Notamacropus eugenii: one gene and its partners. The main gene of each other region encodes a partner of the protein of the gene in region 2 in a complex. Links are inferred from orthologs where the notes say so. Each region holds a gene or a part of one and is shown on either strand. Other genes may lie near its edges.

Region 1 (6,870 bases), on a different chromosome or scaffold from region 2:
TGGGGTTTTCTTGTCAAAGATACTGCCATTTCCTTCTCCAGCTTATCTGACACTTAAGGAAACTGAGGCAAACAGGGTTACATGACTTGCATATAGTCATACAGCTAGTAAATGCCTGAGACCAGATTTGAAATCAGGAAGATGAGTCTTCCTGACTTTAGGCCCCAGCTAGCCACTTTGCTACTCAGCTGCCCTACCCATTTTATAAAAATCCCAATTTTACTGATCGGAAAACTGAGGCTGAGAGAGGTTAAGTGACTGGCCCTGGGGCACAAAGTTAATAAGTGCTGAAGCAGGCTTTGAATTCAAGACTTCCAGATTGGAGGTCGGCCTCTTAATACCTTTGGTATTTGCATTTAAAGCTCTTCATAAAGTGGCCTCTTCCTACTTTTCCAGGCTTCACTCACTTCTTAGAACTCTATGATCCACCATCCGGGGCTGATATGTGGCTCTCTCACAAAGACCCTCCATCCCCAGGCCTTTGTATGGGTTGTCCCCCACGCCTGAAGTGCTCCCCACCTCTGTCTCCCTGGCTTCCTTCAAGACTCAGCTTGGGTTTCCCTTCTCTCTCCAGCCATTGGTACCCCCCCAGTTCCTCAATATCTTAGAGCATTTAGAATTTAAGTTCCCTGAGGGCAGGGCAGTTTCGGCCTTTCTCCTACTCCCCAGTGTCCAGTACTTAACAAATGTTTGTCAACCTAAGGGAGGAAGAAGCTAACTGGGGGGCCCCATGCATGAATTTCTTCACTGTCCAAAGGAACGCAGGAAGAGGAAGTAACAGCTGATCTCCCATTTTCTCCTAGGCTACAAGTGAAGGTCAACCCGGTTAGACCTGGACCAGTATTTCTCACATGGACTGTTGTGCCTCTTCTCATGAAGCCGCACCCCCCCACATCCCCCAACAACTCTGCCGATCCATTCAGAGGAGCTCACCACATCGGTGCCTGACCTTATTCAGACATGACTGGCTTTGTTGTTCTTGTTTAGTTAATCAGTCATGACTCTTTGTGACCCCATTTGGGGTTCTCCTGGCAAAGATACTTGAGTGGTTTGTCGTTTCTTCTCTAGTTCATTTTACCAATGAGGAAATAGAGGCAAACAGGGTTAAGTGACTTACCCAGGGTCACACAGTTAATAAATGTCTGATGCCAGATTTAAACTCAGGAAGATGAATATTCCTCTCTCCAGGCCTGGCACTCTATCTACTATACCATCTAGCTAACTGAACTAAAACAGTAAAGAATCTTAAGTCCATGTCCTAGAAAGACCAACTGAAAGAACTGGGGATGTTTTTCTGTGAAGCCTTGGGAGGGTGGGGGTAGGGTCATAGGGATGACAAAATAGCTTAATCCACTGGAGCTCATGAAGCGCAGGGATTACAGGTATGCATGCGACACACCATCTGGCATAAAATCCCTTTTAACAGGCTGATGTTTCTCATTAAATCTCAGGGCAGTTGGCTTCATCCAAGCAAAGGCCAATGCCCGGTCCCCCATAGGTAGTCACATCCAAAGGAGCTGAATTCAAAAGTCTCAGGGATGTCCCTACAGTCAATCACATGGGGTCATGGACTGAGGGAAGGTAGGAAACAACCATTTATTAGGTGCTTACTTAGGCACTGTATTGAGTTTTGAGATACAAATACAAGCAAAACCAAGGACACATCTCTGCTTCAAGGGGCTTAGATTTTAATAAGGAAAGATGACACACAGAAAAAAAGCTGAAAGGCTGGAAAGAACAGCTAATCCAACACCGTCATCTTAAAAATGAGGAAACAAAATAAAAGTTCTTCAAAAAAGAGGGTCAATACAAGTCACTGAGATGTGTGGCAAAGGGAACAGCTTTTCCAAAACTAAGTGGAAGGAAAGAAAATTTGTCTAGTGTGTCTTCAGTCCCCAGGTGGAAAGGAATGAGCGCTGGTCTTGGAACTGGAAGGCAAGGGGGTTCAGTCTAGTGTTAATGAATTTCAGTTGGAAGTGACCTAAAGGCCAATATGGTCTGAGACTCGGAGCTTCAGGTTTCTTATCTGTTAAAGGAGAGGTAACAATCTACTAACCTCAGAATGTGGTGGTAAGAGAAATACTTTGTTAAGTGCTAAAACGCTATATGATGGCATTCTTTTCATGAAATCTGGATAGAACAAAGGGATTTTTCATCTGACCATAGGAACTCACTTTTAACCCAGGGTCTCAGTTCTCAAACTTGTAAAAATAAAGAAGTCGGATACACATCATCTCCAAGATTTCTTCCCCGTTCTAACATCTCAGGATTCCGTGTTCGGGCTCGGGCCTTACTGGGTGCCCAACTTGGGCTGAACGCTAACGTGGAAGGGACTGGCAGCTGCAAGTCTCTGCCTGAGAAAATAAGCATGTGGCCCCCGAAGGGGCAGGCCAGCATTCACAAGCCCTGACCTTCCTCAGTCCTTCCTCCAGTCTGGGGCCGGGAATCAGAAATGGGACCTTTTGCCCCGACTCGAAGCGGAGAAATTGCTGGGGTTCTGGCTTTTTGTTTCTTCCCCGGGGTACTGATTGGAGAGAGAGGCGAAAGCCTGGCAAGGGGCAAAAGGAGACGGGGGCAGGAGATCGGAGGGGGGGGGAATTATGCAAACTGGAGCGCGGGTTTCATCAGCTCCTCCGGACACGACTCCCTGGGGCTGCGTGGGAACGCTGCGTGGACCGGAGGAACCCGAAGCTGCCCCCACCCCCTCCTTCCCGACCGTGTGCCAGGCTCAACTTCCTTCTAGGCCACTCCGGACTGTTACTGGCAAGTCAAACGGACGCTCCCCTCGGGCGCCTCCCGGACCTTCCTCTTTCCTCGCCTCCCCTCCAACCGAGCCTGCCGCTTTTTAAAGCCCACCCCTAAAGCGCCCCGGGGGAGCGATTTCGGGTGAAGGAAGGATTGGCAGTGCCCGGCTCCGGGCTGTCCTCCTAGGGGTGCCCGCGCGGACATCGCCCCGGCGTGCCACTACCCCGGGACGGGCGAGGGGCCAGAACGGCGCCAGGACTCGAGCTGGGGAAGAGTTCTTTGTCTCTTCGGTCCGCCGGGGGCCGGGACGCGGAGACCGTGCGGCGGGGGAGGTAAAGCGGGGGCAGAGGTCTCGCGGAAGGCGCCCCCTCCTCCAAAGGCGAGCGCCCGAGCATCCAGGGCTCTCCACGTGCCGTCAGGCCGGCCTTCCACTCGGCCCCTCTCCGGGTCCTCCCCGCCATCCCAGTCCTGGCCCGCCTCGGCTCCCCCCCTCCCGCTGTGCCCCCCGCCCCGGTGTGCCCTCCGCGTACCCCCAGCCCGGCGCGCCCCCCACCGTACCTCCGGGGGTGGTGCTGAAGAGCGTGCCTCCCGGGGTGGTGCTGTAATCCCCGGGCGGCAGCGGCGCGCCGTCGCTCAGCACCACCCGACGGGTGGCCGGGATGGCCCGGCTCGGCGTCTGGCCACAGCTCCCGCCCGCAGACATGGCCTCGGCCTGGCTGCAGCCGCGGACCCCGGGGGCAGCGGTCCCCGCTTCGCGCCCACGCCCCGTTCCGCCCCCAGACCGCCCCTTCCGCCGCCGCAGCTTGGCAGCCCCTCGGGACTTGTAGTCCTCACCCCCCGCCCCCATCCCGAAGCCCTGGATGCCCCGGCTGTCCAGGGAGGTGGCGGCCCCTGGGATCCCCGCGCCGCGCCTCGGGGCGGCAGCCACACCGTGGGGACCGTGGCGGCAGGGAGGGGGACTGCCAGCCTGAAGCTTCCCCGACGTGGGCTCCGCGCGCCCCCGCAGCTCCGGGGAGGGGGGGGGATCGAGCTCTGGGTGGGAGCCCGCCGCGCGGCAACTACTGGCCCAGGCTCCCCCCGGACCCTACAGGGGGCCCCCGGCGGGGGTGGGAAGAACGCTTCTCCCCTCTCCAATTTCCTGCTTTTGAAAGCGCGTGTTAATAGCCTCCAGTGCTAAGCTCCCCAGGGCAGACGCGGGTCCAGAGCAAACGCTTTAGAGCAGCATTCTGAGGACTGCATTTCCCACAATGCTTTGGGCCAGGAGACCCTCGCTCATGGGGTGGTGCTGAAAAATCTCCGTGGACTACATCTCCCAGAAGGCTGTGGGCGAGTACACCACCCTCCTGCTCTCTGATTGGTCGGCCTTGTTTACAACCCGCATGGTTAAAAAAAGTGGGTGAAGGGGTTGGTTCGTGGATGGTGTTGCGAGTGTCACTCCTGTCAGTGCACATTCCAGTAACAGAGAACGTACAGACAAGTGGAAGCTTGTTTGGGTATGGGTTCAGGAGATGGTGTCTGAGATCTCTTCCAGCTCCAGATTCTGTGATTCTGACATTAGCAATGCTATTAATTTCTTACTCAGTTTCCTCTTCTGTGCAGTGGGGATAATAATAGCCCCAAATACCAAATGAGAGATCTGCAAATCCCTTTTCCAGGGTTCTACAGACTGCAAAATGCTGCTTATTGCTGTCACCCCCATCCCGTTTTACAGACGAGGAAGCTGAGGCTAAGAAGTTAAGTGACTCGCCCAGGGTCACGCAGCCAGAGTCTCAGGCAGAATTTGAACTCGCGCCTTCCTGACTAAGTCCGCCCTTCTCTTGACTGCAGCACCTCGTTTCTCCTTAGCTAGCTGGGATGCTGGAAGTTTCTGCCTTGGAGAGGGTAGGAGGGAGCAGAAGGGCTGAAGCCCCGGCTGGTCTTATCAGAGGGCATGAACCTTGAAGAAATGGTTTGGATTGTGTAGAGCTGAGGAGAAACTGAAAATGCACCTTCATCAATCCCACCAAATGCTTAATTTGGGGAGTTTTAGCTCCCAGCCTTCTAGGAGAACGTAGGAGTAGATATAAGTTACTAGGTCCTGTTTTGAATCTCTGTCAGTGGGTGCTAGTGAGAATATTTTTGTGTTTAGAACTGTGTCTGTGTGTCTGTGTGTGTGTAAGAAATAAAAAGCTTTTCAATTGCTGATTAGCTTATTTGTTCCAGTATACATTGAATACTTGTCTGTTCTCCTCTTTGGGAATATCTTAGACATGAGTCAAACCCAGACCTTTAAGAATTCTTCTCAGAGTGCTAAGACAAGAAGGAACCAAAAAGAACTAAAAATAAAACTGACCTTTCTTTTAAATGTCATGCTTCACCAGAACTGAACCCAGGGTTTCGATCCAGAAGAGCCGGGGCCCCTTGATGGAGAGGAGAGAGAGCAGTTCTCCAGACTCTTGGGTCCAACTGTGGTTTTAACTGTTAGATTGATATCACACCTCAGTCTTCCTCTCTGAGACTTCTACCTATTAGACGTTGTTCTGCTGCTAGGACTAAGAAAGGCAAATTTAATCCGTCTTCCAAATGCTATCCCTACACATACTCCATAACAGCTTTCCTTTCTAGGATAAATATGCCTGATACCTTCTTAATAATATGATAGGTGTCTTTCTCCGATTGTTCTCCAGCAGGTTAATATTCTTTCTCAACTGTGTTATCAGAACTGAGCTTAATACTCAGATTTCATCTGACCAAGGCAGAGTATTAGAAAGGCAGCATACTAAGCCTTGAAGTTAGAAAAACCTGGCTTCAAGTACCACTCTCAGTCTGCACCAGAGTTTGTTTTCCAATGAGTAAATAATAAATGGACCTTACATCTATGACATTTAATATTTGACAAAGTGTCTTACTTTAAGGAGGGCAATTTGTTGAATCAATCAGTCTGCCTACTCCACAATAACTAATATGATGTGATCTACCTTGATATTTATTAGTAAGAATACATCTGTTGAATCTAAGGCATTCAATTGGGTGAGAAAAGTCTTTAGTTAATTTGCAAGAAACAAAATGTTTCTAGTTATTGCATGAAATGAAGTGGTGCTACATAGGAAGTATATTGGGGTGTATAGGAAGTATCTGTCACATCCTGTGGGTTAGATAGAAATATTGAGCTAGTTTGAAAGTGGGCATTCCAGTGTTAGGTCAGCTTAGTGTGGGAAGCAGTCCCAGACAAGTCCCATCTCTGAAAGCTAATGAAGCCTGACTGGCTAATTTATATCAGTTGATAATCATTATTGGGGCGTGCTGGTGGGGGCCTGTGAACCAAAGTATTGGAAAACCCCCAACTCCCAAGGGTTATACCTAAGAACCCTAAGGAGAAGTAGCTAGATGACTTTCACAGCCTCACCCTCCCAGTACAAATGGGAGGTTGGAGTAGTGAATGCAGGGCTTGTGTTACACATAGATATAACTCATTCGTTTCTTTACAACAATCCTATGATATAGAAAGGGCAGGTGGTCTTATTCCAATTTACTGGTAAGGTAAACTAAGGACCTAAAGAGGTTAAGCAGTAAGGTCACATGGTTATTACAGATTGTATGACCTTAATTAAGCAAGTCAGTTTACTTCTGAATCTCAGTTTCACCATTTGCAAAACGATAGATTTGTATGAAATGATCTCTAGGGTCCCTTCCAGTTTTGAAAGTCTAGGATTCTATGAAGTAGAAGATGATTCACTTCCGTTCCCCCTGCCCCCACCTCCCAGCCCCAGTCCTACTTAGGCTAGGTAGGGTTGGATCTTTGAGGAACAGTTCAACTGAAAAGGCTTTTTTAATTTACTGGGGGTGGTAGGGTGGAACTTAATGAAGATTTTAAAATATGTATTGCGTATAAGACACTGTATTAAGCACAGGGGATACAAACTTGAAATCAATCAATCAATCAGCACTTATTAAGTGCTTACTGTGTGCCGGACACTGAAAATGACATAGTCCCCTCCATCAAGGAATCCACATTCTATCATATAAAGTTTCCTGTTTCCCAGTCACAGAAATAGCTCCAAGAGATTAGGAAGGAAGGAGATTATCTAAATGAGGGCCCAGAGAAATGATTGAGGATATATATGTGGAATTGGTTTGGCTGATATC
Region 2 (6,870 bases):
GTTTCTGGCAGTTCCAGTCATAAATCCTAGATATACAGGAGAATGTACACCACTTCAAGGACCTATGATAAGAGAAATGTTCCAAGTTATAAGAGAAATTCCGGAAAATCCCCTTTCTCAAGACAAAATTCTCTCAATCCAGCATGATGGGTATTCAAAGCAGGGGGAAAAGCCTTGAAGACCAAAAAATCTCTGAGTAAGGGGATGATGTTTTCAGAAAAAAAGAGGATCTGTGAGATGCCCTGGAACTCTTGGAATAAGCAGATCTCACCAGCTTCCCAAGATTTAAACCTGCTGATGAACGCATCTGAGAACATAGCTCCAAACACACCTTCCTCTTGTTGCTGCTCTGACTTTTGTCTCGCTCACTTTTTTCCTTCTCACCGTCTTTCTGTGTGCTGTTTTCTTCATTCTGGTCATGGTCCCCACTGTCATCATCCTTCAAGCTGAAAGAAAAAACAAAACAATGTTCCTCCTATGGCTGAACTATCTCTTCTTCATCCAAAAGAACCAGGAGATTCTAAGATTCACTGTCTTGAATAAAGAGAAACCCCCTAAATTCAGCGTGGGTGTGGAAGATGACCAAAGTTAAAACAAGGAAAGGACTCCTGGCAGCTCCCAAGCAGAAAGCCTATGTCCGCACATGAAGACCCCGAACAAACCACAGGCATCAAAAGTGCATCATCCCAGAATGCCAGGGCTCCAGCCTGGCCCTGCTAAACCCTCTGGGTGCCCCCTTCCCAATTCAACGCATAAGGATCGGGCACTAATTCTAGGACTGGAGAAAGACAGGAAGGACTAACTCAAGGAGAATGGACTCGGCACAAAAGGTACTCTAAATCAACAACAAAGTGGGAGCTCTGAAATCACTGTTGGCTGTTGCCCTGTAGCTCAAGGGAGGTATGTGGTTAATGCAACTAAGACTAGAAATGCTCAAACTATACCCTAGGTTAGAGGCATTAAATGCATGAATTTATTATAGAAAAAGGTGATTAATTCAGGTTCCAGCTCCCCTGAATAAGAACCCACCATCAACCAACCTTCACTGAGCATTTGCTACTTGGAAGGAGTGGGGGATGAGAGGGCAATGAGCCCTCCTTGCTCCTTCTGCTTTCTCTTAAGAGATCAGCTTCCGATTATTCTAAATACATCTCATCCATGGCTAGTAATTCTTGTGTTGTCTTACTAAATGCTTGCTGACCCACTGACATGACGTGACAAGTGACTAGACAAAGCACCAGATGAATGCTGCAGACAGTAAGCGCTATAACAGGACACAGGAGCTACAGGAAGGGCTCCATAGCATTGGACAGATAAAACAGAGATGAGAGCAAACACAGATACTGGGCAAACGCTTTTCCTAATGAAAGAAAACTTGACTCAGGAAACCTTCCTGAGGAACCACAGAAGCTGAGGCCTGACTACACGGTTCTACCTTCAGTTGAGCAACATCTGTGACAGTGAGGTACTCAGTCTTTATGGGAAACCTCCACATCCTATGAGGACACTCTCTCCACTCTGCCTCTGCAGGGTCTACTCCATCCTCCTAATTCTACCCCTACCCCAAGGAAAACAAAGCCTCTCCCACCTGCCAGCTGGCCAAAGCCTTCCCAGTTGCCTTCTCTTCTCTGGGTTTAACATTCTCAGTCCCTGGAATCAACCCCTAGAAAACCCAGTTTCCATTCCCCTTGTGATCAGAGTCTCCTTGTCTACCCTTTCCCCTGTCCCCTAGCCCTTCCCCTCCCCCACCTTGGGTACACACTCTAGCTGGCCAGTTTCTTTCCCCAGATGCAGTGCACAGGACTGAACCCACCCCTTAGACGCCCTGTGATCAGGGCAGAGGACAGCCATGGCCTCCTTAGCCTGGGACATTGGGGTGTTCACTGAGCCTCTCCCATTCTGGACTTGTACGGGTGATTTTTTTTTTAAGACAAATGTAAGACTTTATATTTCTCTTTCATCTTATTAAATCTGGTCCTCAGCTGCCAATTCTACCATCGTGGGACATGGATTCCAGTGATGTTAACAATACATTGCAGCTTCTAGGACCACCTCAAACACTTAAAATGCAGGAACCCTGATTCTGAGCAGAAATACTCTTATCCTGTAACTGAACAAGTCCGCTTTAGCAACATGAAATTGGAGTTTCTCTTCACACACGTCTACGAATCGACCGTACCGTGTCCTAATCTTACAACAAAGCTCTGTATTATTCCAAGAAAGTGAAGGAGAAACCTATCTGAGGACAGAACGGTGGGAGAAGGGTGGAGGCCTTGGAAGTACATTTCCTCTCGGCAACCCAGTTACTTGTGAGACATGCACTGCTTAACAGTAACAGAAGATATAAGGAAGTGGACTTTGACAAATTTCTCAAGGAGTGTTTTCTGTGCCTGGAAAGAAGGAAGCTAGGGTACTAGTCAGGAGATCTGAGTTTGGGTCTCATCAATGTCTTCACCAAGTCCTTTTCCCTCTCTGAGTCTCAGTTTTCCCATCTGTAAAAGGAGGGGGCTAGCCCTGAGGCCTGGGGCCCCTTCCAGGACTTCTATCTTGGCTCTGTTACTTCCTAGCTGGGTGACTCTGGGCCAGTCACTTCCCCTCCTGTGAGAACTCCTGTAGGGCTCACAAGACCACGGGCCTGGGGAGGCAAAGGACCCCACGAGTCCAACCCAGCAGAAAGAGAGCCTGGCCCAGCTCAGGCGGGAGCCGGTCCTCGCCCCTTCTCCAAGCCCTTCCTGCCCCTCCTGCACAGTGACTTGGCCAAGGTCACCCAAGGTGCCAGGGCCTGGTCCCGGACTCCCGCCCCCTCCAAGACAGGGGAGCCGCACGTGGTTGCAGGACACTTCCTGGCCCCCCCCCCATCGCCCAGCTTTCCGTCTGGCTTTTACCTCTTCAACACTGGCTGGAAAAGCCCCAGGCCCCGCAGAATGGAAGTTCCCGGAGGGCAGGGGCCCGGCCCCCAAACAGTAGGCGCCTACTGTGTACGGGATGCACCCCACCTGTCTGGCACGCGGAGGGCGCGCTGGGGGCCTTGGGGGCTGCCCTCGGACAGCTTCCACCCCGCGACTAAGTAAGAAAAGGTAAACTGAGGCCCAGAGAAGGGACTTGCGCAAGGTCACAGAGGGTCGTGGCAGGGTCAGGATTCGAACCCAGGTCCTTGGGCTCCACACCCAGCGCCCTCGCCGCTGCACCGCACGACCGCCCCGCCAGGCACCCCCAGCGCTAAGTCATGCGCGCCGACGCGGGGGAGCGACGGGGTGGGCGCCCCGGCTCTGCCCCCCCTCCCGCCTCCCGCCCCAGCCCGGGGCCTCCCTTCCCCCGCCCGGGGGTCCCCGGCCCCGGCCTCGGTCCCGGGCGGGCCCCGGCGGGGGCGGGCTCAGGCTCAGGCCGGGCCCGGGCCCGGGGCGGCGGTTAGGGCCGCGCGCCACGCCACTCACGCGTCGAACTTGTTGTTCATCCTCTCACCGCCGCCGCCGTCGTCTCACTCGCTGACTTCCGCTCCGCCGAGTCCCTCGGCCTCGGTCCCCCCGGATACTTCCGGTGGCGCTGCGTACAGCCGGAAGCACAGCGCGCGAGCCCCCGGCCGAGGTGGGGGGGGAGCGGAGCGAGCGCCTCTTCGGGAAGGCGGGGTTGGGGCTGGGGGCAGGACCGAGCGAGGCGCCTGCGCAGTGCTGGGCTGGGCGGGGGCGAGCCGGCTCCTCCTCCTGACCACGGCTGAGGGCGGAGCGAAAGGGGGCGGGGCAGAGCTGACGACATTCCCGCCCCTACGCGGGGCGTGGAGAAGGAGGTGGGGGGGCCGGGCGCCGTTCAGTCCGCTCTCCTCCTTACAGAAGAGGAAACTGAGGCCAGGGAAGACAAGGGGCAAGAGGTCGCGGGTCCAACCCCCTCAGCTTACAGACGGGGAAACGGAGGCCCCAGGAGAGGGGCTTGAGACCCCTCCAATCCAACCCCTCCATTTCACAGAGGGGGAAACTGAGGCTGGGGGGCAGTCACTTCCCCAAAGCTCGGCTCTGCACATGCCACCCCCTCCTCGGCAAAGCCCAGGCGCCCCCTTCGTCTCCAGCATCCAATACGGGGGCTTTGTTTGGCTTCCAAGCCCCCCCACCCTTGCAGCTGCCCCCGGACCCTCCCTCTGGGCTCTGGGCATCTCTCTGGCCATCCCCCAGGCCTGCAACACGCCCCTCTGCTCTGACCACTGACCTCCCCGGCCTCCTTTTGGCCCGCCCCCATCACCTCCTATTTATCCCATGTGTTCCTTTATATACATTTGCTTATATGTGTCTCCACCTTTAGATTGGGAGCTCCTGGAGGGCAGGGACCATCTGCCTCTTTTCATCTACCTGGTGCTTATACAGAGCAGGGTATACAGTAGGTACTTAATAAATACTTATCGATCAATGATTGTGGTGTCTACAGTCCCTTCCAGCTCTAAAATCTATGATCTTTCACCTTGCGATACCTTCCAGTCTTTTCTAGCAGTTTAATTGTGAAAGAGAAAAGAAATGTGGGGCATTGGCTTGAGGGGATGCTAAGGGAAGGTCAAGAGTTTAGGCTTGGGGTCTTCGGATAGGAAACTGAAAACAGCAAGGACAGGTTCTGCTTCTGAAGGAGTATGATGGGGATGGGATCCAGTACACAAGGGTAAAGTTTGGCTTTGCCTAGGAGACAGACACATGGTCCTCAGAATCCAAAGGGAAGGAGGAGGAGATAAGGGATGCTTAGAGCAAGGGTTTGGGGAGAGGGTAGGACACAGTTAGGGTTATTGTGAATACCTAAGTAGGAGGCCAAGTCTTTTGATGACCAAGTTTGGACAAGGAGAGATTTATAAGACTTGAGAAAAAAAAGGGAAGTTTTGAGAAAAGCAACAGATCAAAATAAAAAGATTGTCTCAGGGCCCAGTTGAGATCAGGTCACATAAATCTGTAATGGACCCAGTAAGGCAAGGTTGGATGACCTCCTCCGTTGGCCACAAGGAACAGAGAAAATGAATGGTACTGGTAGGAGAAAGGGACAAGGAAATTCCATGTAGAGGTCAGGTGATAGCTGAGCTGTTTAATTCTAGTCTGAAGACTTCAGAGGAGAAGCATGAGGCCAGATGGAGTAAAGAGGAATGAGTCACATGGATACGTGGAAGTTGTGGTCAGAGAAAGGAACTTCTGAGTTCTAGATCACGAAGGTAAACCAGTTCTGGATGACAGTAAGATCAAAAGTATGAGCACCCCTTAGAAGGAGGAGGCCAGGGTGTCTGAGGGGAAACAACACACACATTGGAGTCCTTGAGTATGTCAGCAGGAGTTGGGCTTGAGACCATGAGCCAGATACTGAAGAAAGGCAGTGAGTGTGGAAAATTTCAGATTCAGAGTCAAAGGACCTGGGTTAGACTCCCTGCCTCTGTGACTTTGGGCAAGTCCCTCAACTTTTCTGAGCCTCGGTTTTCTCATCTTTGAAATGATGGAATGGTAATACATAACTTTTAAGGTTCCTTCCACTTTCAAATTTATTCTGTAATATCTGGGCTCAATCCCAACTCACAGAGCTGTTAAGCCTATGGATTTGCATTTACTTAAAATTGTAGCTGGGGCCCCCACAGGTGTGTTCACTTTTAGTGATCAGCCAGAAGACATGAGTGAGAAGATATTGCACCAGATTTCTGACAGTATCAGAGGAGAGAAGGGAGTATATTAGAGAGATATTGCAAAGGTGATATTGACAGATCTGGCAACAGATTGGTTGTGGGATGTGAGAAAATGAGGATGACACCTAGGATGAGAGTCTATGAAACTGGAAGGATAAATGAACCTGTTGAAAATCAGACGTTTCTCTCTGCTTCCAGCTGTGACCCTTGGAAACAAGGCTCACTCTCTTTGCACCATACTTTTGGCTTAAAAACAAACAAACCAGGGCTTTCAAAATAGCTATAATAATAAAGATACTATAACCATCAACATAATGATAGTTAACATGTATTTAGGCACAGCACTAACTGAGGTACTGATGACTACAGGGCATTGTGGTCCATTGGCTCATTTGCATGTGACTGTTTTTAGACTTTTAAGAGATTATAACTGAGAAATTATAAATTAAATAACTAGTCAGGGTACCATGGGAAAATCATATAAGGATTGCGGAATCATAACCTGACAAAAAGTTAGAATTTTTGAGATTAAAATCATATTAGAGATGGATTGTTGCTTATAAGGCGACCCTGCATGGAGGCTGGCATTTTCAGCCGCAGAAAAGTAGAATAAAGTGAAAGCGAGGTAAGAGATGGCCAGCTGAAGACAGAAGTGAGAGCCAGCTGAGCACAGGCAGGTGAACGGACACATAAGAAACCAACAAGGAGAAGCAGGCACGTAAGAAGCAATTGTGGCCTGGGCCCACCTTGGACATCCCCTGGGCTCCAACTGTATGGCATGCACCAGATGCACAGCCTTCCCTTGGGGCTGCCAAGTGCTTCTCTCTGCTTCTCCTGCAGCTCTTGGTCTCTGTCTCTGTCTGTCTGTCCGTCTGTCTCTCCCTCTGTCTCTGTCTGTCTCTGTGTCTCTCTCTCCCCATTTCTCTGTCTCTTTGTCTGTCTGTCTCTCTCTTTCTCTCCCCCTCCACTCTCTTTCTTTCTCTCCCCCTCCTCTTTCTTCCTTTCCTCCCTTCTCTCTCTCTCTCTCCCTCTCCCTCCTTCCCTCTCCCCACTCCACTGTACTTTCGGTTTAATAAAAAGGAGGCTTTAAAAATAGCTTTTTAAACAATAGTAATAGGTAGCAATTAGCTCTTACTCTATCCCAGACACCATACAAAGCACCTCAGAGTTATTATCTTATTTGATCCCTGGAGGTAGGTGAGATCATTATTGCAATTTTACAGCTGGGGAAACTGAGG
Region 3 (6,870 bases), about 2.1 Mb from region 2:
CCAAACTCACATAGCTAAATTACTGTCAGCAGATATCTTTCAATGACAATATACAAAAACAGTCAATAATTATTTAAGAATGCAGAAAAATGGTTTATTGAAGATCAAGATGAGGGGGAAAAATCAGCATATATTGTAATAACAAGTCACACTTTTACATTTTAAAATTCAATTTATCAAGTAAAAGAGAAATCATTCTAAATCATTAATGCTCTTTTACTGGTATCTTTCATCCAAGGAGTTCTTCTATCAGCATGATGCTCAAATATTCCCATTTTTGCAAGGCTCTGAAGCAAGTGAATTGTTTTGATTTATGCAACAGAAATGAAGTGACAAAAAAGAAAAATAAATCAGTGAAATCTAATCTGTCAATAAAGTATTCATACTTCAAGGATCCTAAATTTATCATGAGGAGTGGAATACTGTATTTAACACTAACATCACAAAGATGCAGATAACCTGGAAATCAAGATGTTATTTTTAAGAAAAAATAATATCTGTATTAAAGTAAAAACAACCAGTGGACTTTAGGAAAAACTCCCAAAGACATAACTCTGGGAGTAAAACAAAGTCACAAGAGAAAGGAAGATTCTTCTGACAATGAAATTCTACACGCACCATAAAGGCAGCTAATTCAGCTGCAAGAGCCCTAAAACCTTTAAAAGGAGACTTCATAAAAACATGGTAAAAATCAATTCTTTACCAACTGAAGAAAAGCTGTATGAGCTAAAATACAGCCAACTAGAATGAACTGGTTATATTCGTTAAGTATCTAATTTTGCAAGAGAAAAAATACTTGTAGAATTACTGGTGAGTCTTCTCCCCAACACACCCCCTCAAAACATTCCTTCAGGTGTGGTTATTCTTGAAAAATATCAGTAACAGTATGGCATCAGTCTCATTAAAAGTACTTTTTATTGGAGACCAGGTAGCTTCAAAGAGTCTGTCAAACCAGTTCACACCAACTTCCTTAATGTACTACCTAAATTTAACAAGCATTCTCAGCTTTTTTTCCCCAATAAAAAATTTTGATAGTCAAACATCCACATATCTAGAATTTAACTGCCCTGCAAAAGGACACTGGAGAAAGGGGGAAGTGGGGTTTTGAGTAGAGAGAAAACAACCCCCCACTCCCAAACAAAAGAAGCTAAGTTATATGGAGAGGGTTTAAGTTTCATATTGAAAAGGAAGGGGGTGGACTAGGTGAACTCCTTAAGTGCCTTCACCCTGCCATTCTCCCCAGATAGCTTACACAATAGTCAATACACACTTGGCAACTACTGTGCTACACAATATATGAACAACTTTTCAAATTTGTACAAATACATCCATTGGCTCTCCCAAGCCCAACTCTTAAAAATAGGTAGTTATCTTAAAATTAAAAAAGAAATTATCCTGAGCCAAAATGATGTGGAACTCTTATTTCTAGTAAAACTGGTATCATTTGCTAACACAATTCTCAGAATTAAATGTGAATGGAATCGTGTCACTTTTCCAGGTACATCCCACTTTAAAATTGTTTCCTGGTGTTAGGTCTGATGAGAAACTCTTGATGCAACAGCCAAGTACATATACCAGTTTGTCCACTCTGCAAGCTGCTACAGAAACTGCTAAAAACACATAAAAATGTCAATGAGTAAGAGAAATTAGTTGTTATCTACCTAAAATTGGAAAAAACTACAGAAGTCATGATGCCCAGAAAGAATTCTAGAAACAAATGAAGATTTAAAAAAGGATTTTTTTTTTGAAAAAGCAAATAGATATCTTAAAAGGACTACTCTACAACAGAGAATAAGTTTAATAAATCTACCTTGCTCTTCTCCACATACTAAGATAAAACTGGCCATCTGCCATCTGACTTTTAAGATTGGAGTAACACATTCAAGCCTTACCTTTTTGAAAGCAAAATTGGAGGGGCTGGAACGTCCCCACCACCACCGAAAAGAAGCATTTTAAGTGTTCTGACTTTCACTACAATGCGCTAAACAATATGGAGCTCCAGGATAACTACAGAAGTTAAGCTCTTTGAAGGCAAGCGCTGCGCCTGGGCACTCCTTCACAAAGGCTGGCCCTTTTATCTCTGCATCCCAGCACTCAGTCACCGACCTGAACTGTCCACTGGATAGAAGTCGGAGCCCAAGAGCAGTGGGCGGCACTCTCTTATCTGAGGACGGCCCACCTTCCTTGGGTCTGGGACCCTCGGCCAGGACGGGTAACTCCAACAAGCCCCTCTCAGGTTTTAAATGCATGTAACAAAACGTTTAGGATCACATGGGAAACGAATTCCAGCCCTATACAGCTATCAAATCGTTTATTTAAAAAGGACCAAGCTCAGGGACCCCAGCTTCCAAACCCTCCTCCAGGGGAGGGGACAGGCTCCTGCCTTCAACTCCCAAGTCCTGTCTCGGGCTCACGTGACCTCCCCCCCAGGGCCTCAACTTGCCCATCTGTACCAATGCGGAGGCCCCCGGGGGAAACCAGACTTCGGGTGAGTCGGGGCCCTGGGTGCGAATCCCGGCGTGTTACCTGTGAGGGCCCAGAGCCGAGTTCCCGCTTAGCGGCCTTGGGCAAGTCATCAAACCTCCCTAGGACTCAGGGTCCCGCTAGGCTCCTCCTCTACCTGGGTGACCTTGGACTAGAGGCGGCCGGCGGTCCAGTGGGCAGTCGGGGAGGCCCGAGTTCAAGTCCGGCTCAGACACTCTCGAGCTGGGTGACCCTGGGCGAGTCACTCGACGCCTCTGCCTGCCTCAGTGTCCCCATCTGTAAAATGGGGGTCGTCAGTCGGGAGACTGGGAGAACGGAGCGGGACAGCAGCCGGACGGCAGGAGCCCCGGCCTCCCCCCCCGCCCGCCCCCAGCCTGACTCTGGGGGGAAGCCTCTGGGCGGGCGCCAACGAAAGCCGGGCCTCCGTTTCCCCCCGGGAAGGAGGGGGGGCCCGCCGAGGGGGCGGCCTCGCGCGGCCTCCGCCCACCAGCAGCTTGACCTTGGGCCGGTGCCGGCCCCTCGCCCGCCGGCCTCAGTTTCCCCGCCCACCCCAGTCCCCCCGGCGGCCCGGACTGCCGGGCGGGGTTCGCTTCCAGGCCCAGCCCAGCCGCGGCCTTCGACCCCGGCGCTGCCCCCTCTCCGACGGACCCGACAGGCGGGAGCAGGCAGCGCTCGGGCGGAGGCCGCCCAGGCGGCCCCGGGAGCCTGACGTGTCCCTCGGCCGCCAGCCCGAGGAGAGCCCGGGGCTGCCGGAGCGGCCTGGGCGAGGGCCCAGCGGCGGCGGGGGCGGCGGCGGCGGGACGGGCTCGGGCCTGGGCCCCGGGCTCCGGGCGGTGGCGGCGGGGTGCGCCAGGAGGGCCGCGGGCGGCGGACAGGGCGGGCGCCGGTTACCTGCGGTCCCGGACGGAGAGTCTCTCGGAATCCCAGTCAGCCCTCAGCCCCGACAACACAAGATGGCCGCCACGTCGCCGCGCGCCGGCACGTGACGTGACGCGAGCAACGCGACGCCGCACGAGGCGACGGGACGGGGGCAGTCGCTCCGCCTCCTCCCTGCTTTCGATCAGTGCCGAAGCCCGGATGTCCCGAGAGAGGCAAGGGAGGGGCGACGCAGGCGCAGTGGCGCGCCCGCCCCCGACGCGGCCATCTTGCTATTTCTATGCCCACTCTCGAGACGGATGACTCATGCTCCAGGGAGCCAATCGGGATTCAGCAAGTCATTACCGGAGCCAGGCTTTATTCTGGGGCTGAGGTGCGAGCCACTCCGGAACGGCCGTTTGACAGAGGAGGAAACTGAGGCACGGGGAGGTCGTGTTGCCCAAGGTCACTTGGGTAGTAAACTCCAGAGACAGATTCTGTATCCCTTCCCAACAACATTTCTAAGTCAAACATCGCACCCTTTAAAGCAGAGTGGAATTGTTGGCTGAAGTTACGAATGGAGAAACTGAGGCTCAGAGCGTCACATGATCAGGAACCCAGACCTCGTGTGACTCTACTGTCTAGTGCTCTTTCTATTTCCCTGCCTCTAGAGGAGCCTGGCAGCTGGGTGGCAGAGCCCTGGGCACCACTAGCTGTGTGACCCTGGCCAAGTCACTTCACCCTGTTTGCCCCAGTTTCCTCATCTGTCAAAGGACATGGCAACCATTCCAGTATCTCTGCTGAGGTCAGGAAGAGTCCCACAGGACTGAACAGAAGCCTCAAGAGGAGCCTGGGACCTCAGCGCACTAGGGTGCCAATCTAGATCCCGGTCGCCAGTTAATCTGCCAGTCAAGCACTTATTAAGCACCTACTGTAGGCAACAAGCATTTATTAATTCCCTCTCCCATGCCAGTTGCTGCGCTGGGTGCTAGGAGTATGAACATGAAAAATAAAACAGTCGTGTTCTCAAGAAACTGGGAGACACCGCCACACAGACCAAACAAATACTAGGTCATTTTGGTGGGAAAATAGCTGGGAGAATCACAAATGACTTCCTGCAGAGGTGGCCTGAGCTGAATTTGGAAGGCCAGGAGGGATTTGAAGACATACTGCCTTGAAGGGTGGCTTAATTTCATATTATTCAGGGGCAAACTGTGAACTTCCCAAGTTCTTTTTTGTTATTCACTTTGTTGCTTTTTCTTTTAAAGAGTATCAATGTTTCATTGATGCTTTTTTTTTATATCAAGTGCTTCGAGATTATTGCCCTCATCTCCCCCCACCTTTACTCCCCCCATGAGCTTTACTCTTTTATTTTTATTTTATGGCATAAAATAAGCATTTCCATAACAGTACAATAAAAAGATGATTGTATATGAAACTGTGCATCTACTGTGCATAATTTGCTGTCCCAAATATACAAGAAAATTATCACGTAAATGATTTTTCTTCCCTCCCCCTCTATGGCTACCATTAGACACAAATAAGTATATATCTGTAATATTACTTTACATATGCTTCTGTTAATCAGTTCTTTCTCTGGATGCAGCTAGCATCTTTCTTCATATGTCCTTTAGAGTTCATTTGAATATAATAGTGAAAAAAGTTGCCCAAAGTCATTCATAAAATAATATTGTTACTGTATACAATGTTCTCCTGGTTCTGTTCATTTCGCTTTTCATTATTTCATGCAAGGCTTTTCATGCTTTTGTAAAATCATTGAGTTCATCTTTTCCTATCATTTATAAAAAAGAAAAAAGTTCTGCAAAAGCAATCTGCAAGGCATATGTCTGACAGCATCTGCACCATTCTGCATCTGTAGTCCCCACTGTGGTTATGTCCAGAGTGTGTCAGTCTAAGTTGGTCCTTCCCACACGGTGCCAAGTCTATTTAAGCAACCTTTCTGACATCACTGTCATTGCCAAGCATCCAGGGCTCCTGGTTTTGCATGCAAGTCTTTTCTTGGGTTTCCCCAAGTTCTTTACCTTTGTAGTTCCTCCTTTCTCATGGTACAGATACTATTCATGCCTATGAGCAGCATGGTGCCTAAGCTTGGGAATCCCTGAGTTCAAACCCTGCATCTCACCACAAGCACTGACTTAGCCTCAGAGTCCTCCCACACCAAGGGTCAGGCTGCATTGGGAGCTGGGACTCCTCACCACAAGTTACTTAGACCAGTGAAGTCCAGTTCTCTCTCCCACCTAAAAAACAAAAGCAAACACAAAGGAAAAACAATAACTCCTGTTCGTCCAATCCATTTAGATTTCCAGAGCACTTTTCTCCCTCCTAGAAACCCTATGCCAAAAGCTGTTTGATGAAGAGAATGAAGCAGGGAAGAGGTAAAGTAGAAACTCCCATCTAGTCAGCAACCTGTTGTTAATATTTGTGGTAAAGCATCATTGACATTCCTGGTAACCTCTCCCTAAAAAATAAACCAGACCTTCCACAGCTCCCTATTGCCTAGCAAATTAAATTCAAACAACTCACAGAATTATAGGATTTAGAACTTTAAAACATCTTACAGATCATTTAGTCCAACCCCCTTATCTTGCAGGCAAGGAAGCAGGCCTGGAAAAGTTGAGTGACTGATCCAAAATCACATATTTAGTAAGTAACCTAGGCAAGATTTGAATCCAGGACCTTTGGTTCCAAGTCTTGCCCTATCTCTACCACACCTTTTCATTTCACACATATATAAAACTGAATGCCCAATAAAAACCAATAATCTGATAAGCATTCAAAATAAAACTGGTGATTTGTATGGTATAAAAACCTAAGTTTTTGGTTTTGGTTTTGACAAGATGGAGCCAAATGAATTAACAAACTACAAACGACCTCTGTGGAGACCCATTCCCTCCCTGGAGTGTTGATGGTCTGTCCCTCCTTATCACAATCTCCTGAAGGAGTTTGACTGTTTTGCCTTTCTTTGTATTCTGGGTATTAGCGCAGTCCCTGACACATAATAAGAGTTTACTAAATGTTTGATAACTGACTGACTCTATCTTACCTCTTTCCATGGTTTTTCCAAGTTTCCTTTTAAAGGCAACTCAATGTTCCATAATATACTGTCATTTCTTCTGCCATTCTCTTGTGAAGAATTTTTTAATAGCCCGTTCGAAAAGGACTGTAGCTTCTATAACCTTCGACCCAAGGGTCTTCTAGCTAGGCTACCCTCAGAGCAGCCCTTTTTTGTGGTAGCAAAGAATTGAAAACAAAGCAGGTACCCATCAATTGAGGAATGACTGACCAAATTGTGGTCAGTGAGCTCTTGTGGTTTGTTCAGTTGTTTCAGTCTTCTCCAACTCTCTGTGACCCCATTTGAGGTTTTCTTGGCAGAGATATCAAAGTGATTTGCCATTTCTTTCTCCAGCTCATTTTACAGATGAGAAAACTGAGGCAAATAGAGGTTAAATGACTTGGTCAGAGTCATGCAACTAGTAAGTGTCTGAGGATGGATTTGAATTCAGGAAGTGG

What was found. Proteins that work in one complex are often made in the same cells at the same time.
Region 1: the proteins of EIF4E2 (region 2) and EIF4EBP1 are in contact, whole or in part, in a crystal structure (PDB 5NVN), measured with the Homo sapiens proteins. The link is inferred for Notamacropus eugenii from reciprocal best matches to the Homo sapiens genes EIF4E2 and EIF4EBP1. Residues at the interface, in NP_004837.1 of Homo sapiens: Glu53, His54, Pro55, Leu56, Gln57, Tyr58, Tyr64, Arg66, Lys83, Gln84, Ile85, Gly86, Val91, Glu92, Gln93, Trp95, Arg96, Phe97, Ser99, His100, Met101, Val102, Leu107, Phe113, Glu149, Asn150, Leu153, Gly157, Glu158, Gln159; in NP_004086.1 of Homo sapiens: Arg51, Ile52, Ile53, Tyr54, Asp55, Arg56, Phe58, Leu59, Met60, Cys62, Arg63, Ser65, Val67, Thr68, Lys69, Thr70, Pro71, Pro72, Asp74, Leu75, Pro76, Ile78, Pro79, Gly80, Val81, Thr82, Ser83.
Region 3: the proteins of EIF4E2 (region 2) and GIGYF2 are in contact, whole or in part, in a crystal structure (PDB 5NVM), measured with the Homo sapiens proteins. The link is inferred for Notamacropus eugenii from reciprocal best matches to the Homo sapiens genes EIF4E2 and GIGYF2. Residues at the interface, in NP_004837.1 of Homo sapiens: His54, Pro55, Leu56, Gln57, Tyr64, Arg66, Asn81, Lys83, Gln84, Ile85, Gly86, Thr87, Val91, Glu92, Phe94, Trp95, Arg96, Phe97, Ser99, His100, Met101, Val102, Leu107, Phe113, Glu149, Asn150, Leu153, Leu156, Gly157, Glu158; in NP_001096616.1 of Homo sapiens: Leu38, Ala39, Asp40, Tyr41, Arg42, Tyr43, Gly44, Arg45, Met48, Leu49, Leu51, Phe52, Leu53, Asn56, Lys57, Ile58, Pro59, Asp61, Leu62, Asp64, Glu66, Phe67, Pro69, Ile70, Leu71, Gln72.

The regions. Positions count from the first base shown.
Region 1 is NC_092872.1:622,944,370-622,951,239, forward strand, and holds the start of EIF4EBP1 (eukaryotic translation initiation factor 4E-binding protein 1), read right to left. Parts: upstream 3,544-6,870; 5' UTR 3,449-3,543; coding exon 3,304-3,448; intron 1-3,303. UniProt on the Homo sapiens protein: Repressor of translation initiation that regulates EIF4E activity by preventing its assembly into the eIF4F complex: hypophosphorylated form competes with EIF4G1/EIF4G3 and strongly binds to EIF4E, leading to repress translation.
Region 2 is NC_092873.1:57,580,474-57,587,343, forward strand, and holds the start of EIF4E2 (eukaryotic translation initiation factor 4E type 2), read right to left. Parts: upstream 3,666-6,870; 5' UTR 3,455-3,665; coding exon 3,435-3,454; intron 3,166-3,434; exon of another isoform or gene 2,886-3,165; intron 447-2,885; coding exon 332-446; intron 1-331. UniProt on the Homo sapiens protein: Recognizes and binds the 7-methylguanosine-containing mRNA cap during an early step in the initiation. Acts as a repressor of translation initiation.
Region 3 is NC_092873.1:59,711,579-59,718,448, reverse strand, and holds the start of GIGYF2 (GRB10-interacting GYF protein 2), read right to left. Parts: upstream 3,474-6,870; 5' UTR 3,376-3,473; intron 2,761-3,375; 5' UTR 2,577-2,760; coding exon 2,527-2,576; intron 1-2,526. UniProt on the Homo sapiens protein: Key component of the 4EHP-GYF2 complex, a multiprotein complex that acts as a repressor of translation initiation. In the 4EHP-GYF2 complex, acts as a factor that bridges EIF4E2 to ZFP36/TTP, linking translation repression with mRNA decay.